Linked DNA regions of Anolis sagrei. The protein of the gene in region 1 interacts with the protein of each later gene in a pairwise test. Links are inferred from orthologs where the notes say so. Each region holds a gene or a part of one and is shown on either strand. Other genes may lie near its edges.

Evidence for each region.
Region 2: the proteins of NRAP (region 1) and KLHL41 interact in binary tests that used the Homo sapiens proteins (3 or more experiments, as listed by UniProt). The link is inferred for Anolis sagrei from reciprocal best matches to the Homo sapiens genes NRAP and KLHL41.

What each region holds. Positions count from the first base shown.
Region 1 is NC_090023.1:207,215,212-207,225,697, reverse strand, and holds the start of NRAP (nebulin-related-anchoring protein), read right to left. Parts: upstream 3,997-10,486; 5' UTR 3,845-3,996; coding exon 3,773-3,844; intron 3,478-3,772; coding exon 3,383-3,477; intron 1-3,382. UniProt on the Homo sapiens protein: May be involved in anchoring the terminal actin filaments in the myofibril to the membrane and in transmitting tension from the myofibrils to the extracellular matrix.
Region 2 is NC_090021.1:194,933,571-194,943,204, reverse strand, and holds the start of KLHL41 (kelch-like protein 41), read left to right. Parts: upstream 1-4,708; 5' UTR 4,709-4,799; coding exon 4,800-5,909; intron 5,910-9,543; coding exon 9,544-9,634. UniProt on the Homo sapiens protein: Involved in skeletal muscle development and differentiation. Regulates proliferation and differentiation of myoblasts and plays a role in myofibril assembly by promoting lateral fusion of adjacent thin fibrils into mature, wide myofibrils.

The DNA.
Region 1 (10,486 bases):
GATTTTAGCTATTCTTGTAAGCCGCTCCGAGCCCCAGGGGAGTGGCGGCATATAAGTTTAAATAATAAATAAATAAATAAATAAATAAATAAATAAAATAATTTTGTAATGACATTTGAAACTTTTTTTTTATCAATCACACATGCCTAGTATTCAATAATAGTGTCTTTCTAACAAATCCCACTGCAAGAATGTATACTGAACCCAGAATATGCCTCTGGGCATTTGAGCTGCTTCTGGTTTCTGGCTTGTTTTGAATCTCTTATACTACAATAATAACTGCATGTGGCTAAGCTTTGGTTTAGGCTGTGAGAAACCCAAACAAGTCTCCTTCAATTAAAAGACTCATCATATATGGTTTTGGGAAAGCATGACTCAGCATGATAAAGAATAGCCATAAATAGGTTCTGCACTTTATTTAAAACCAGAACCCTGAATGACAGCTATGGAATGGGTGTCTCATATTGGTGCTGAGACATGGGGAATATTCATTGTCCTGTTTCTTGAGAACTACCCCCGGAGGTGAAAAGACTGGGGTATAAAAACTCTAAATAATAAATAAATAAATAAATGTGTGGTACATCCCATTTGAATTATTGTTATGCTCTCGATGTGGGGTTGTCTTTGAAAAGTGTTCTGTTGGTTCAAAGAGCTACAGCCAGATTGCAAATTAGGGGTGCATCTTGACAGGGCAATAAATGATGCTGATCCAGAGTGGAGTACTCCAGAACAGAATAGCACTGGGCTGAGTAATGAACAACTCCGTTTTCATGTCCACTAGGCACTGTAAATGGCCTATCAAGGGGGCAAAGTAGGTGCTATCTCCTGCTCGCGGGCCGAACATGGGGTGGTGGTGTAACCAAGTGTGGCCACATCTCAATTAGGAAGTGGCACAACTGATTACAAGTGCTCGAAATCGTAGGGAAACTCCTGAGTATCCCATGACTTCTGTTATTGTGGTTCAAGGCCGCACGAAGCTAAATAGTACCATGCATTGTGATACCACCACAGAGCTGATTCAGTCCCCTTTCACATTAAAATGCCATGATAAAATGAAAATGCAGCCTAGGGCTGGCTACAGGGAGCAATTTCTGGACACAATTAAAGCCATTAATGACTTACATCCAGGTATTTTAATATTTGTAATATTTAATATTTTAATTTGCAAACTGTTTATTTTTGTAATGTTATGCTTTTAATATCTTTTTATTGTTTTTAACATATTTATTTAATATGCTGGTTGTTATCCCGACTCCCATTATCAGGGGAAAGTTAGGATACAAATGAAAATGATCATCATCATGATATGAAAATGTAAGAAGAAAGAGGGAGGGAGACAGAGAGATCTATTACTGCTATTAAATAAAAATGGAATAAAATCTTATTTTTTTCAGGAGTAAAGAAAGATTTTCTAAATTGATTTTTCATAATCCATCTAGTTCGATTCTTAACATAATTAGTCTCAAAGAGTCAATGTAAAGTTAAACTGTCATTTTGAGTCCCTTAAATACAATATTAATTATTTTTAAATGAATTCATGTGATTTCAGTTATACTTTAATGGTGGTTAAATTTAGTTTAATTGACTAAAATGTTACATCTATCATTACGCTTAAAAGAATCAGGTCGTTGTTCAATAAAATACGTTGAACTATGTGAAATAATGAGATAATGTGAACAGGTTAAAAGTATATTTTAAAAAGGAGACACTCAGGAATATCCATTACATCTAAAGAAAAATGTAAATTCTTGTTGAAAATGTATTATTATTATTATTATTATTATTTTAAAAAGAGGGCAGTTGATGATGATGCTTTTCCTCAAAATTAGTATTCAAAGTGGCTCACAATGAAAAGAACAATTCAAATTGGGAACATTCAAGTGAGCATTAAAATAGGATTAAATTATTCATATTATTTAAAAAAATAGACTTTGATTTGAAAGAATAAAATGAAATTTAAATAAGCGAAAAAGCTATTCAAAACAATTCACTTAAAAATACAGCACACCCTAAGTTCATTCTTTAAAAGCTTTGTATTTTAAAGCTCTGTTGGAATAAAAAGAATTTTCTCTGCTGATGGGAAAACAACAAGGAAGGGGCTATTTTAGCCTTTCTGGGAAGGGAGTTCTGGAGTCTATGGACAGTGATCATGAAGTCCCTTTCCCGCCTTCTTAACAACCTTACTGCTAACAAAACAACTATCTTTTGAACATCTTGAGATGTATCTCTGGTCTTTTCTGTAATGCCATATTAAGCTGTTTAACTATTTTTTTAAAACCCAGTCAAAACACTTGAGGACAATTTAAAATGATGCACAGATAGCAATTTGTATGGAATCAGGTTCCAAAAGCTTGTTGTTGCTGATGCCAGAATGACTCCAGCGTTGGTACCATTCTAGGAGAGGGTGGTCAAAAACTAGGCCGCCACAGCAGTTGCTCCCACAAGTGTATACAGGAAATAAGCCTTCTCTTGTGTATCAAGGATCCAAGGCATTTAGGGCTTTGCATGTCATCACAAATCCACAAGACTCTACACTCACTTGGGAATCACTTGGCCGTTCTCTTGTTGGAATGCAACTCACAACAAGCTCTAGCCAACATAGTTCAAAGTGAAGAATGCTGAGAGTTGCACTTAAACAACATCTGAAGGGCCACATAATTCCCACTCAATGCTGTAGACCCCAGAAGACACTCTTACACCATATTTTCTATCTAAGATGCTGTGAGTCTGCCTGGAGCTGTTTTTGTTCGCTTGCTTACTTGTTCACTTGTGCAACTGAGGTTGGGAAGGATACAGTTTTGAATCACACTTTTCATAATCTCTCAGCAAGCACAAATAGAGCTTCCGTATGCTTATAACTTAAGAAATTCCTATAACTAAAATTCAGTAAGAAAAGAATGTAAACAGTAAAAGCAGTTTGACCAGGATGGAAGGAATAATTTATAATCTGGACAAGACTTCATCAAAATTCATTTGTATCTTGATAATGAATTTCATAGCCATAAACACAGGTTATGTTTTTTTTTATCTGAAATGCTTGAGACTAGAAGTATTTGGATTTTGCATTTTTTGGAATTTTTCTATATACAAATATTATGTGCATAATCAGATATCTTAGAGATGGACCCAGGTCTAGATATGAAATTCATATATGTTTCATATATACCTTGCAAACATAGCCTGAAGGTAGTTATTAAAATAATTCTGTACATGAAATGTGCATAAATGTTGTGCACATTCAATTGTCAGAAAGCAAAAGTGTCACTATTTCAGCCCCATTTGTGGATAATTTTGAATTTTGGAGCTTTTTGGATTTCAGAATTCCAGATAAGGGAAACTTAACCTGTAATATTTGTTAGCTACAAGACCAAAACACACTTACGCTTGACAGTAAGGTCTTTTTTGGTGGCTGACAAAGTTATTTACGGTTAACATCATCTTGCAGGTTTCACAGTGAAAGCAGGCCTTATGCCATGTCTGGAAATAGCAAGGACAAGAATACAGTGAAAGTTACTTCTGTGGCAATTCAATACATGTATAAAAAAGCAGATCTATTTCTGTCATGTAATCTTTAAGAGACATAAAATGTTTCGCTAACTATCAGCAAATCTTAGGTTTGACATCAAAGTCAATCATCATTTATAAAGATTAGAATAATTTAGGATTGTTTTAAATGATTTAAATTCATATAGTTGTTTAGCTATTCAGATAATGTTTGTGGCTATATTAGATCAGAACTTTTTCCCTTATGCCCAAGAACAGCAATACTGACCTGATCAATACAGTTAATCTTCTCTGCGGGATAAACCCCGTAGCCACATCTGGCACAAGGCTGGATATTCATCTTGAAATTATCCAAGGAAATATTTAAATTAGAAAAAAACCCACAAAACTTTTGAGGGATACAAAAGTACAAAAAAGAAAATGCGTTGCTTCGTATGAAACTCTCCAATCTGTCCACGGTTCAACGTTCTGCTACTCTGTTGCTGCGCTTCTTTCAAACTCAGCTGTTGTCTGGTTTTTAAAGCTGCCACTTACGAAGAGGGGTTATTTTGGCAACTGTGTACGAGTTCATGGGAGGAAATGCAACAGGAGAATTCAGTGATACCTTTCTTTAAATAGAAGAGTGAACTCACAGAGAAACCTCATGATTATATGAGTGAGAGCAACTAATTGTTAATATTTACACTATGGAGCTTCAAGACAGACTTCTAAATATATGTTGTTTCATCTTCAGATTATTATTTATTTGCTAAGGATCACCATTAAGGAAAGAGGAACAAGTCAAAGACATTTCTGAATTAAACACTCATCCCTCATACAGCTGATTCAGACTTAATTACTGGTAGTTCCTATAAGCGTGCAATGCCCAATCTGTCTCACATGAAAATTGAAAACTTGTTCCTCAGATGAATAAGCATACACAGGAATTCTACTTTAGATGGCAAAACTATGCTTATAATAAGCCTCAAAATTGCACTGCTTCCAAAAAACACTTCCTAAGTCTTTGAAACACAATTTATTCAAAGACTAGACATTATATAGGAAATTAGAAAATGTATCTGATTGAACGTAAAATGATCCAGAATATCTATTTTGATTTTTTAAAATCAAGAATAGAGTTAGGATTCCGCAAAAAATAAATGCGGAACTGAAAAAATTTGGAGCTGACAGAGGGAGCTCATCCATGCTGTCCCCGGATTCGAACCTCTGACCTGTTGGTCTTCAGTCCTGCCAGCACAAGGGTTTAAACCAGGGGTCCTCAAACTAAGGCCTGGGGGCCGGATGCGGCCCTCCAAGGTCATTTACCCGGCCCTCGCTCAGGGTCAACATAAGTCTGAAATGACTTGAAAGTACATAACAACAACAACAACAATCCTATCTCATCAGCCAAAAGCAGGCCCACATTTCCCATTGAAATACTAATAAGTTTATATTTGTTAACATTGTTCCTCATTTTAATTATTGTATTGCTTTTAAGTGTTTTTTACACTACAAATAAGATATGTGCAGTGTGCATAGGAATTCATGGGGTTTTTTTTTTCAAATTATAATCCGGCTCTCCAACAGTTTGAGGGACTGTGACCTGGTCCTCCATTTAAAAAGTTTGGGGACCCCTGGTTTAAACCATTGCACCATCGGAGGCTCCTGACCACCACTAAGTGATAGAGAAGGTTCCAACTTACATACAACCTGGTATTTTGCTTTTTGCTGCCTCATACGCTTGCTAGTTTTCAAAAGCAACAATGAGGTAGATGAGAGATTATGTAGTACAAACAAACCAGTGAGCTGTAACATTTAAAAGGCTTTTAAAAGTCTTTTTAAAAGCAAATAAAAGCATTTAAGCTACTGTTGGCAAAAGCGAAAGTAAAATTAAAAAATAAGCATTTTTACTATATTACAATAATGGCAAAGATGTTCAGGCGTACTTCAGTTAGCTAAGCAGAAATGTTCCCAGGTTCTTATTTCTTTAACGGAAAATGAGGTGCCAGAGACAGAAATAATGGGAAGGATAAGAATACGACACCACAAAAAAGAAGAGCGGTATAACATGCTAAAAGAAACTTTTTTATTCCCAAATGACAGCAAGCATATCTGAAAGGAAACAACTTAGCAAAACTTCCTTAAGTAAACAAAAACAATTCGAACACTTGAAGCCTCCTTCCAAAATGCATCCAGGGATGACATTTTCTTTCAACTGGCCTTATGTTTTCCATTTCACTGGCTAAACTTACAGATATATGTATGTTTATTTCAATATACTGTGGGTAGCTGTTGAAGAAGGCTAATTTGCTTGCTCCTTTTCTATTTTGCTGTCCTTGTGTTTATTAAGAGATTTTTTTTTCATGTCTGCGGTCAGTAGGCATATAAGTACTATCAGCTAGTATAAAAACTGGCTTTTCCCAGCTCAAGCTTCACTGCACCATTTATTATGAGCTGAAACCTGACACAGAATGTCTTGTCTTTTTCCAGTATCACTTTGTCATTCTCCCAATGTGTTTGCTGCTAAAAGGACTCCAACTTGACAAAGGAGTGTGAAAAGTGGGAATGTACAGACAAATAAATAAATAAATAAATAAAGAGTTTGCAAAAAGAAGCTTTGCTAGCTATATTTTGCCACATAACTCTATCTATTGATAGATATCCCTGCTCACTATATAGCTATTTATTTATTTACCATCTGCTTTATCTCTCCACCCAGAGATTCAAACAGCTCGCAATTAAAAATATTGCAACTTCAAATATAGAAATATACAATAATAAAACAGTATTATCATTACATATGATTATATATTATCAATAGTATTATAATTAATGCCACTATGAGCCACCTAGGACCTTAAGATCATCAGGGGAGGCCCTGCTCTCAGTCCTCCCACCATCTCAATCACGCTTGGTGGGGATGAGAGACAGGGCCTTCTCTGTGGTGGCCCCTCGGCTATGGAATTCTCTCCCAAACAAAATCAGATCTGCTCCATCTCTCCTGTCATCTGAAAAAAGTGAAATCCTGGCTGTGGTATCAGGCCTTTGTGGACTAGACTGATTTGCTGGCAAAGTTATGGTTTTAATGGACTAAGATGGACTGCTTTTAGGATTACGACTGAATTCGGTGTTGTATTTAATGTTTTTATATCATTTTTATACTGTTTTATTATATTATGTATATTTATTCTTTTATTGTGGGCACCATGCTGTGCTGGTTGTTAGCTGCCCTGAGTCCTTCTGTGGAGGTATAGAACGGGATATAAATGCCCTAAATAAATAATCATAATAAATTAGCATTATTATATTACAATATTATTATATATTATTATATTGTATTATTAGTATATTGTATTGCATTACAATATTATTATTAATTTTATATGTATATACAATATATTATATTATGAGCATAGAAGAATATTAATATTATATATTATTATCTTGTACTAATGCTAATATACTTCGATATTATTAGTAATGTGTTGTCAAAGGCTTTTGTGGCTGGAATCACAGGGTTGCTGTGAGTTTTTCAGGCAACCCAATTATTAGTAATATAATATATAATGCATAATATATAATGTATAATAATATATAATATATTATAATTATATTTGACTAGGTAGTTCCAAAGAACTGGCCCAATATTAAGTTCCAGCACTTTAGCATGGCCCTCCACTCTATAATCCTGACATTTTAATGCCCATAAACATTATTCTCCCAGCCCTGCCTTTATGAATTTTGCACTTTCCCTTAGCTCTATCTAGGAATTTGCACAAACCCAGAGCCCTCTGAACTCAACACTTTTATCATTCTGATTGGTACTGTTATTATGATGTTCTGTTTTATTGGGATATGTTTTTTATTTGGTTTTGTTTTAATGCTATATTATTGTGTAAAGTTTTTAACTTTGTGCTCTCTGGGCTTGTCCCTTTGTAAACCGCCCTGAGTCCCTTTGGGGAGATGGAGGCAGGGTGTAACAATAAAATTATTATTATTATTATTATTATTATTATTATTATTATTATATTGTACTACATTATTATACCACAACACATATAATATACCACCAGTATATTGTACTATTACTTACTTAGGTGATCCCTCATTGTCCGAGTAAGATTGCCCTCCAAGTGCGGTGTCCTAGAGGTGGGTCCATAGGTGACTGTGGAGCTCTCACGCAGTGAGGGCTTTGGTTTCCAGGTGGAAGGCAGTCCCGGTCTGGGTTGGCTTGATGCGCCTTCCTCTTGGCACGTTTCTCTCTTTCGCCCACCATTTGTGCCTCTTCAAATTCTACATCACTGCTGGTCACAGCTAACCCGCTAGAGCGCTCAAGGGCCAGGGCTTCCCATATTATACTATTAGTATTATATAATACCTTGCATTATATCATTAATTGTAGCATTGATTAATTAATTATGCATTATTTATTTATTTACCACATTTGTATATCACCTTTCTCAGCCAGAGGCGACTCAAGGCAGTTCACAGCGATTTGATGCCATAAAAATTATAAAAATACAATTAAAACAATTATAAAAACAATTAAAACATTTAAAATGTGATATAAAAAACAATACAGCCTGTAAAAACAAAATCCTCGGCGTCTCCTTACTAAAATAGCTGTCCAATTGCATTGTCAGTCGTTCCATATATTAGTTCTCATCTAATTCCGTACCAATAGTAAAAACTTGCTCGAAGAGCCAGGTCTTAACCATTTTGAGGGAATGTTAGAAGGGAGGGAGCCGATCTTATATCCCTGGGAATGGCATTCCCTAGCCAAGGGGCCACCACTGAGAAGGCCCTGTCACTCATTCCCGCCAAATGTATCTGTGAGGAAGGCGGGATCGAGAGCAGGGCCTCTCCAGATGATCTTAAAGTCCTAGTTGGTTCATAAGTAGAGATAGGTAAGCCGAACTATTTAGGGCTATAATTAATATAATATATTATACTAGCCATCCCCTACCACACGTTGCTGTGGCCCAGTTTGCGTATAAGTGTTTTTTGTGTGTATATATTTGTGTATATGTGTGTTTGTGTATATATATATATGGTTTTGCACATGCGTTGTAATTTATTTTTTATTTTTTTGCTTTTTAAGTCCCTTTCATTGTGTTTTTCAATGTTTTTATGAGTGATGGACACTCGTTGGTCTGATAGGTGTATCACGTCCAAATTTGGTGTCAATTCGTCCAGTAGTTTTTGAGTTATGTTAATCCCAAAAATGAACATTACATTTTTATTTATATAGTGTTCTGTCTTCCAGGAATATAGTTTGTATTACCTTTTAGTTGCATGGGATAGTGTTCCTTTGCATTTCCCCAGGGCTGCTACAGACCCAGCAGCACCCTGGAAGTTAAACAGTATCAGAGTCTGGAAAGCCAGACTGCAGGCCCTCTGCAGTTATTGGTTTAGAAAGGTATCTCTTTGGGTCTAGAGACCGCCCTTTTTCCTCGGTTGAGATCTCCATTTTGGAATCTCCCCTGCCTCCTTCAGTAGAGAAAGAAAGCTTCAGATGTGCTGTTGGTCAGGCAGGTAACTCTGAAAAAAACCATTGTAAGAATGACTGAGTTATTTAGACAGAGAAGCTGATTGAGATACTATAAAGAAGCTAATTGAAACAGAGATAGAATAGCAATTGAGTAATTGAGCTATTGAGTTATAGATAGATATTGAGTTATTGAGAAATAGTTATTGAACACCTTTTGCTTCATCTCCAAAACCAACCTTGGGCTGGAATAGGGAAGGCCTACGCTTTCTAAAAGATAGTGGCTCAGGGTTGGGGTAACAAGATCTCAGGATTTTTTCTACCATTTGGATGAAGGCAGCTCAGTGACTAGAGAAAAGGAAAAGAAAGAACATCTCTGTGGTTTCACCAATTGACTGTTTTGTTTGTAACTTTAACAAGCTGTGCCAAGTCTGCAAGGACGTTGAGAAATAAATATTCTGTTTTGATGTTCAAAGCCTGTAGTAGCCTCAGTTGTGGGAATCTCAAGCTTCTAAAGAAAGACCCCCCGCGGTCCACCCAGACAAAGAGAGAAGGACATCTTAGTTTTATTTTTATAGGGTCTGGGTGTGACGGCACATACAGATATTATATAATAGAAAGAGAGAGTCTATACTATATAACTATGCTAGTCTATACTTTGGGAAACTTAGACCTCCAACTAAATTCTAAGAATACATTCTGAATTTTTTTCCTATGGCTCCTTTTCTCCTTCTTGTTACAGAAACTCTTGCCAGCATTTTTCCCCCCTGCGTTACCATTTTTATACAGTTTTCAAAGTGTCACAGTGATTATTTGATCAGGATTATACTGCTCGTTCTTCTACCTTCGTGTATTTACTCAGCTTGTAAATGAGCCCCAGGGCTACAAAGGGCAGTGAAAGGGCGTATATATTTTCCTGGGACAACTTGGCTTTGCTTGAGCCAAACTGCGCTGGGCGCTTCATTCCAGCAGGTGGCGCTGTTGGGAAGCGAGGGCGCCGCAGCCACGCAGGCGGGCGAGAGAAAGAGGGAGAGCGGTTTCCACTTTCGAGGCTGGAGGCGGGAGCCTTTGCCGAGCGAGAGAGGCGCAGGAGGGGCCGCCTTTTGCTTTCGCTTTCTGCGTAACTGAGCCCAGCTGCAGCAAGGCTTCCCATTCGCGGCTCTCAGGCAAGTTTCTCCTTAAAGTTGGGGCTGAAGGGAGGGGGCGGGAACCCATAGTTGTCATCCAAACTACCCTTCCCCTCCTCCCAAGCCCCCTTCCTTCCCCTTTGCCTGGAAGAGAAAAGCTGGATTCACACTTGCATAGCATCCAAAAAAAGCAAAACCAAAGCAAAGAAGTCCTAAATTGACACTATTATGGATACATCTGAATGCATCTTGACACCCCTTTTAAGTGGCTATGGCTCAGTGCTATGGAATCCTCCGATTTGTAGCTTGGCAAGTGAAGGCTACTGAAGACCTTGCAAAACTACAACTCCCACAATCCCAGGGCAGTTAAAGGGGTGTCAAACTGCAT
Region 2 (9,634 bases), on another chromosome or scaffold:
CAAATATGAAATTTAAATATTACTTTGGTTCATGCTCCAGTAGTGGCTCTTAATGTGGCAGCTATGACACTCCTTCAAAGAGGTGGATGAAAGGAGAGCAGATATAATCATGAAAAAAACTCATGAAGCATCAGCTAAGACTTTGAGAGCATCTACATCAGTATCAATGTTTGTTTGAGCCATGATATTACAAGTTCCACACAGGAATTAGACATACAAACACTTAATAAGGCATTGAAAAGGATAACAAAAGTATTGTAATTCATAGCTGATGCATATCATGATGCAACAACCTTAGCAGCACGAACCATCAATGTGATAAGGATAGGAAGGTGATCACTGATTACGACATTGGGAAGCAAATTCCAAATCTAAAAATATTTTTTGTCTTCATGCCATTTAAAGGGGAATTATTCTTTTGGGGAGAAGCACTAGATAATATGTGAATTAAAAAGAGAGAGAAAAAAGATGATAAGGCCTTTTCATAAGAGACAATATGATAGGAGACCCTTTAGGAGTGGGTATGATTTGACTTATTCCTTGTGAGTAGAAAGAGGATGATTCAGGCTTGGTTTTTTAGGCCTGTTCCTGGGATTATTTGGGACGCTTATTCAGAAAATTGCATTGGATAGATTGCATCAGCTCTAGTTTCTTATGGTTGTTATGGTTTTCTATGGGCAAGCAGATGGCAATTGACATATGTTCTGTATCAAAAAGTAGATCTAATAAAGGAAAACTGGGGCCATTTTTTAAATCTGCAGGTCAAATATACCCAGAAACAAGTCTAACATTTGAGGCAAATGTGTGATGGTTAGTGCTATAGATACCAGAATCAAAGAGTTAAACAGAGACTACAATTTGGTAAACTAGGCCAGTATGTTGAACACTAGTAATAGCACCTTTCCACGGAGAGGAAGAACCTAGTATTGACAGAAATGTAGCACCAGTAAGAGGAAGATTAATGTCACTTAGAAGTCTTTGGTCTCAAATAACAAATCAATTGTTAAATAAGGTAGTCATGTCGGGTTACAGAATATTGTTCAATGGGACCTCATTATAGATGCCCCCCCCCCCCCCCCCCCGCTCTATTTTGTTACGTTTCGCCTGCAAACAACACTGGCATGCTGCCTCATAGCAACCCATGCGCCCTCCCTCCTTTCCCTATCACATGGGGGTATCAAGGTGCATTGGTGCCCTATTCCTTCTCCCATCAGATGGGGGAAAGGGTAGCTCCTCGCCAACCATGGTTACTTTGGTTGGCGAGGAAGTATCTTGCAACATTTCCTCACCACTTCAGCCATCATTGGGGTGAGGCCATGGCCTGCATCGTGTGATGCGGTTCAGTAGGATCTGTGGCCGAAGAGGAGTAAGGAGCCAAAAGGTGGTAGCAAAGTCGAATTTCTTTTCTCACAAGTGCCAAAGGAATGCAGAAAAAGAATGACAGCTTTATAAGAAATCAGACATTATCTGGAGCTCAAACCAATAAGGTTGGCATTGTTGAATTTTTCCCTGAAAGTAACAAACTGACACATTTATATAAGAGCAGACAATGGGACTGCGAAAACATATATTTCAAATGTAAAATGTCTACAATCACTGTCTTTAATAACAGAATTCAACAAGTTATTCCATTGGATGAAAAGAAACCTGCTATTAATCTCAGCAGAATATTTTAGATGCCAATAGAATATTTATGCCAAATGTAATCCTTCCAGGAAAGTGACTATTGAACATGTCGTTACTCACCCCAAGCCACGAGGAGAGGTGGGTTAGAAATAATAAAATAATAATAATAATAATAATAATAATAATAATAAATATTATTATTATTATTATTATTATTATGTGTCTTTCATATTATACAATACAAAATGTACATATTAAATCCTTCACCATATGTTCCCTAGCTATTACTGCCACAGATTTGAACCCAAAATACTTCATTGTTGGTGAATATGCTCTGTCCGTAACATAAAATCTAGGAAATGTTAATTCATGTTCTTTGGTGATGTATTTCCTCATTCTTTATTTATTTGTTGACTTTTCTACATCCAGTCCCTATCGCCAAACCATCATCTTACTAAACATATTCTATATGAAATGTAAAATAAAAACCTTTGGGAATATATAAAGCATTCAAATGGCATGAATTCAGTTTCTGTGTTGATAAGGAATATATAACAGGAAGTTATCACAGCAAAATCACCAGCAATTATTTTTTTTTTGCAGTGATGCAATCGGTTAAACCCTTGTGCCAGCTGAACTGTTGAGCTGAAGATTGGGTTGTTGACCTGAAGGTTGCTGGTTCGAATCCACGAGACAGGTTGAGTTCCCATCTGTCAGCTCTAACTTGTGGGGACATTAGAGAAGCCTCCCAGCTAACACATCCAGGCAACCCCAGGGCAACGTCTCTCTGTAGACAGCCAATTCTTTCACACCAGAAGTGACTTGCAGTATGTTCTCAAGTTGCTTCTGACATGATAAAAAAAACCAGCAAATTATGTGGCCCTTAGGTGAACCCCAAGCAGAAATCAACTACTAATAATCTAATTTAAAAATCCAGTTCAGCTTTGTTTTTAAGGGTAGAAGTTAAAGGAACAGCATAATAGCTGTATCTATCCAGTGAACCAACAGTGTTGCATTCAAAATGAAATGTCATTTATTGTTTGAGAGGGGCAGCTGGTATGATTTTACATGAGGTAACTGCATGTCTTCCATCTCTATAAATGGAAGAATGTCAAATGACCTGTCTATCCAGCTGTTGTTGTAGCAGCTGATCTTTCGAGTATACATTGAGAGACGCCCATTTAAACTTTCCTACTCATATAGAGTTGAATTCAGATTGAGGCAGTCACACTTCAGTCACATTATATTCAATATCATCCGCATCACCTAGGACTGATTTTTACATTTTAATATGGCTATGAGAACCAGTGTGGTGTAGTGGTTTGAATGTTAAACTAGGTCACTGTGAGGTCAAAGTTCAATTCCCCACAGAGTCATGAAAACTCACTGGGTGACCATGGAAAAATCACACACTCCCAGCCTTAGAGGAAGACAAAGGGAAATCCTTCTATACAAATTCTACCAAGAAAACCCAGTGATGGCGTCACTTCAGAGTAGTCATTAGTCAGAACCCAAAAACTCAACAATTACATGTGACTAATTTGTTCTACATCCATTCCATGACTTTTGGTGGTATCTATTCTGTATTAAAGGTACAAAGGTGACTTTCAGTAAAATTTATCAAATGACAAGTTTTGAATAACTTTCCTATAAATTGGAACCTAAGAATTTGTTATTAACTATTGTCTGTTTTGTTGGATTCCAGGAGGTATTCTTTTGTATTGAGCCCATTTCTGGTTTTATATGCTGTGCAACATATCCCCCAGTCTGAATGGGCATTTATGTCTAGCCCACATGTAAAGCACTAACGAGATTATTAAAAATGCATTTAAATTTTGGGACTTGATCCACATTTTTATTGATTTGTTGTATACTTCCTTTCTCTCTCTCTCTTTTATTGAATTGGTCAGTGCTTTCAACCAATTATTGTTGTTCATTCATTCAGTTGTTTCCAACTTTGTGACCTCATGGATCAGCCCACTCCAGAGCTCCCTGTTGGCCGTGGCCACCCCCAGCTCCTTCAAGGTCAAACCAGTTACTTCAAGGATATCATCTATCTATCTTATCCTTTTTCCTTCCATTTTCCCCAGCATCATTGTCTTCTCCAAGCTTTCCTGTCTTCTCATTATTAACCATTACCATTGTGTAACAGCTAAATATCTTAACAAGACACAAATAACCTTTTAGATATTGATTACACAGGTGTTTATTTTTCTAGGAGTATGAAATGCTTTCATTTGTCTGAAACAGTGGTTTCCAACCTGTGGTCCATGGACCACCAGTGGTCCCCCAGAACAAAAATATGGTCCATGGCCTCACCATTACAACACTGTTGCCTCGAAGCCACGTTGCAACGAGGGCGACGGTCTCACAAAACTCTCTCATAGTGCCGAAGCAACAGGAATGTCGGGAGGGGAGAGGCTGACTACCCACGAAAGATTACCACTACCACATCAACTCTAGATTATTAAATATGGTTTTTGGTGGGCGAACAGATGGCAGCTACTGGATGGCATATGTTCTGTATCAGAAATTAGAACTGATGTGGTCTATCCAATGCAGTTTTTTGAATCAGCAGCTCAAATAACCAAACCAAAGTTGACCAAAAAATGATTCATAACCCCTTTGGTACTAATGTTGGAGAGTGGTCCCTGGTCAAGTGGTTTCTGATCAAGTGGTCCCTGGTCAAAAAAAGGTTGGGAACAACTGGTCTAAAATATATTTAAATGATTTTATGAATGAACATCATACGTTCACCTGATGATTCCATATTTTGAAATCATGCTTGAGGGTAGTAACAAGTATGTTTTTGGGACCTATTCCATAGCAACTACCTTTAGATCTAATTCTGACTCCTTGCTAATGTAGGGATCTAAGTATATTCTACAAGTAATCTCAGTGATTCAATGTGTGTAACCAAGTAAAACTGATTCCTTAGTGACTAAAAGCAACAGTTGCTTCTTTCAACCCATGACAGCTGCAAGCCCCACTCTTCTTTCCACACCATCCATTCGAAATTCCAGTTTGTGAAAGTCTGTATCTATATTTAGCTGTCAAGATTAAATTACAGGACCTTCAAGCTGGGCAAAGTGCACTGATCTGCCTTTTCCAGGCAGACCTAAGTACCAACAAGAGGGCTCTCTCCCTTAGCTCCTTGTCCAGATCTCCACAAAATGGATTCTCAAAGAGAACTCACTGAAGAGCTTCGGCTTTATCAATCCACTCTTCTGCAAGATGGCCTCAGGGAGCTTTTGGAAGAGAAAAGGTTTGTCGATTGCTCCCTTAAAGCTGGGGATAAAAGCCTTCCGTGCCACAGACTGATTCTGTCGGCCTGTAGTCCTTATTTCCGGGAGTACTTCTTATCTGAGCAAAGTGAGGAGAAAAAGAAAGAGGTAGTCCTTGACAATGTTGACCCTCTCACCCTTGACATGATTGTGAAGTACCTTTATTCTGCCAGCATTGACCTCAATGATTCAAACGTTCAAGATATTTTTGCCTTGGCGAGCCGCTTTCAAATCCCCTCCGTGTTCACCGTGTGTGTTTCCTATCTTCAGAAAAGGCTTGCTGTAGGTAACTGCTTGGCCATCCTCAGGCTTGGTATCCTCCTCGACTGCCCAAGACTTGCACTTTCTGCCCGTGATTTTGTGTCAGACCACTTTGTGAAGATTTGCAAAGAAGAGGATTTCATACAGCTCGCCCCCCATGAACTCATCTCGATTATTTCACAAGATGGCTTGAACGTTGAAAAGGAGGAAGTGGTTTTCGAAGCCGTAATGAGGTGGGTGAAGAAAGATAAAGAAAACAGAATGAAGACTCTTGTAGAGATCTTTGACTGTATCCGTTTTCGGCTGATGGATGAGAAATACTTCAAGGAGCATGTTGAAAAAGATGATATAATCAAAACTAACCCTGATCTTTCCAAAAAGATCAAGTTGATAAAAGATGCATTCACTGGGAAAATGCCTGAACCGACCAAAGGTGCGGGAAAGTCAGCCCAAGGAGAGGTTAATGGTGATGTCGGGGATGAGGACTTACTCCCTGGGTGTCTGAATGATATTCCAAGGCATGGAATGTTTACCAAAGACCTCATTCTTCTCATCAATGATACAGCTTCTGTGGCATATGATCCTACAGAGAATGAATGTTACCTGGTAGCCCTGTCAGAACAGATTCCTAGAAATCATTCCAGCATTGTCACAAAACAGAAGCAGGTCTATGTGGTGGGAGGACTGTACGTGGATGAAGAGAACAAGGAAGCCCCTTTCCAGTCATACTTTTTCCAGGTATAAATCTTACGTTTCTCATTGTCATTTCAGTTCTGCAGAGGGGTAAATTGATTTTAAAAAGTTAAGTCCACATCCTAAAAGACATTGCTTTTCTGTGGACTTTTGGAAAGCAATCTTTTAAATTCATTATCTCTTGGTCTCTGCAAGTTTTGCATTTCTGTATCCTAATTCAGCATCATTTCTGACTAGAGGTCTACAGATGCTTAAGAATGTATCACATAATTTTTCAGTCCTGCTTTCTAGATAATACTAGCATATTCTAAGCTATCTGAGAGGCTAAGAGGAGACATGATGGCCATGTATAAATATGTGAGGGGAAGTCATAGGGAGGAGGGAGCAGGCTTGTTTTCTGCTGTCCTGAAGTCTAGGACACAGAATAATGGCTTCAAACTACAGGAAAGGAGATTCCACCTGAACATTAGGAAGAACTTCCTGACTGTGAGAGCTGTTCAGCAGTGGAACTCTCTGACCTGGAGTGTGGTGGAGACTCTTTCTTTGGAGACTTTTAAGCAGAGGTTGGATGGCCATCTGTTAGGTGTGCTTTGAATGCGATTTTCCTGCTTCTTGGCAGAGGGTTGGACTGGATGGCCCACAAAGTGTCTTCCAACTCTAGGATTCCATGAACTCATTTCCACTATATCCCTTCCCCCACCCCAAAAGCTTTTTAAAATATTTTAAATAGAACTTATTTAATGCTGTGTCGGCCTGAGAAATGTACATGTAAATTAAAGTGGGTTTTATTGATTTTATAACAGAAATGGTGGCACTGTGCCACTCTGTTGTAACAGCACAACTGAGACATTTGACTGGACGGCATTTGATCATAGCATGCCTTGGAAGTACCATCAGTCCAGAAGAGCCAACTATTTGTTCCTGTGTGTTCCTTTAGACCAGGGTTATCAAACCCATTTTCATGAAAGGCCACATCAGTCTTAGGGTTTCTTTCAAAGGGCTGTTTGTAATTGTAAGATTTTATAAATATAACTATGTTACCTTAACACTGAAAGTTCCACAGGGCACATAGAATGATTTTATGGGCCGGATTTGGTCCGCGGGTCTTGCATTTGACATAGGTGAATGAGACATTTTGCTAAAAGAGAAATGGGATAGGATCAAAGATTATTGACATGATCCTACTCTTTTATATGCCAGTTCAGGTGAACATTTAGCATGTGATGGAATGATGGCTCTTAAAAGGTTTTAAAAATACTTTAGAAGAAGAATGGACTATCAGTTGACTATCAGTTGACAGTACTATGTATCTGCATATCTGTGCTCACGAATACTAGAGGCTGTAGTTACAGTTTTTGGAAAGTTTTCATAGAAACTGGTTTGCCATTCTGTGACGAGAATGGTAATATATATAGGTTTTTTGGTTTGGTCCAGTATAATTTATGTTCTCAGATATTTCATGTGCCTTGTCTATGCATTTTCTACTCTGGTCTTCTAATTTTCCTTAATTTAGTTTGATATTTCCATTTCTGATGGCTACAGTCTATCTTCACCATGCAGATGGAGCTCTTCCCCTCACAAGAGTTTCCTCTTTCATTCATTTCAGTACAGGAAGTAGATATTATAGCCATTGCTTTTCCCTTGCAGATCAGATTCCTCAGTGTGAAACCCAAGGACTTGTAGGATTCTAGGTCAAAAATCACAACCAGCCTTGAGTTTGCATGTTCGCTCCTTTGTCTCTTGTGGTGAGGCTGTGAGGACATCAGAACAATCTGCTTCTGCTTATAAGCCAGTTAGAATTCCCTGTTGTATCTGGATTTGAGGACACTGATTACTTTAGTCAATGGATAACCATCAGTTTGTTAACACATCAGGATTGTAAACAACAATGGGTTGTATGTATTGTCGAAGCCTTTCATGGCCAGAATCACTGGGTTGTTGTTGGTTTTTCAGGCTGTATGGCCATGCTCTAGAAACATTCTCTCCTGACGTTTCGCCTGCATCTGTGGCAAGCATCCTCAGAGGTTGTGAGGTCTGTTGGGTTGATGGGTTGCTCCTTATTGCTTGAACAAACCAGAGTTTGAGCATAGAGGAGACATCAGATATAATGAGAAACTCCTCTTAATTTAAAGTTAGGAAGGACAGATGTCAAATTAACTACTATGAATGTTAGGAATCATGACAATGCATACTTAATGAGTTTGGAACCTCTGTAGGGAGCACATATGAAGTCTGGTGGACAAGAAGTTTCTAAGGAGCAGCAGTTAATAGAACAGACTCGGGAACTTAATTAAAATTGTACTGAGAAACCAAGAAAATGCACAGAGAAATCAAAGCATTAAAGATGCTCTCTTAAATATACCTTAGAAGCAAAAAAAAAATGTAGACAATTTCCACCTTAAAGCTCTTCCATTAGGCTTGGCGTTGGCACACAGGATCTTCACCAAAGTATTAATTCAACTGATATCTTTTGTGATACAGCAACAATGATCTTTTTCTGAAAGCCAAGTGCAGACAGGAGGCAGAACATAAGCTCATTCTCACCTTATAATATCTACAGACTTCTTATACATTTCAAGAAAAATCAGCTGACAGCAACAAAAATATTAACTCACTTGGATGTAGAAGAAAAATACACAGTGGCCATGGGTGCATCTACTCTGTAGAATTAATGCAGTTTGCAGTTTCATAGCTATAGTTTCATGGGAGTTGTCATTTGCCAGATCTTTAGCATTCTCTGCCAAAATGGGCTGGTGCTTCACCAAACTACAACTTCCAGGATTCCATAGTATTGAACCATGGAATTTAAAATGATGTCAAACTAAATTAATTCTACAGTGTAGAATAGATGTATCCCATGTCTGCCTTTCCAAAAAAAAGGAAACAGAGCTTCTTGGAGCAAGTAATGCATTTGAGAAAGGTGAAAACATTTAATGCATTTGGTAAAAGTGCTAGGAATATTAATTTCAACTGTTCAGTCCTGTGTACAAGGTTTCACACAAGGGCATTGCAAATTTTCACAAGAGCACTTCTGAAAAAGATCATAAGGCAAAGGTAAAGGTTTCCCCTTGACATTGTCTAATTGTGTTTGACTCTGGAGGATGGTGCTCATCTCCATTTCTAAGCTGAAGAGCTGGCGTTGTCCATAGATACCTCCAAAGTCATGTGGCTGGCATGACTGCATGGGACACCATTAGCTTCCCTCCAAAGCAGTACCTACTCACATTTGCATGTTTCGAACTGATAGGTTAAGAGAAGTAAAACATACTTAGGTAAATTCCACGGATGCAATAGGCCTATTCTAATTGGGACTGTATTTAAGACATAGCATTGCTACATTGGTGAGAATTAGATCCAAATAAATAGAAGAATCTTTAGGGAAAATTTAAAAAACCTATAGAAAATAGACTTTAAATAAAAACAACAATGGAGGTGCAAATCCAAAAGCACAAGTGGCAAACCTTGATAATTATCAGGGGGACATGTGGTAGAGGAAATTTTCAAAAATCTGTTATGATACACAAGCATAGTATGGGGGCGAGAACCATCAAGAGGGTGTTCATGAGAGGTGATGAGATGGGGTGAAAAAATCATAGTCTCTTTTATTAGCTGTTTTGTGGTTGTTTGCAATTGTTATGCTAAACATGCTGTCATTTCTTATTCTTACATTTGGAAATAGTTGGATACCATCACTTCTGAATGGGCTGGACTTCCTCCACTGCCATCAGCCAGATGCCTTTTTGGATTAGGAGAATCAGAAAACAAAATCT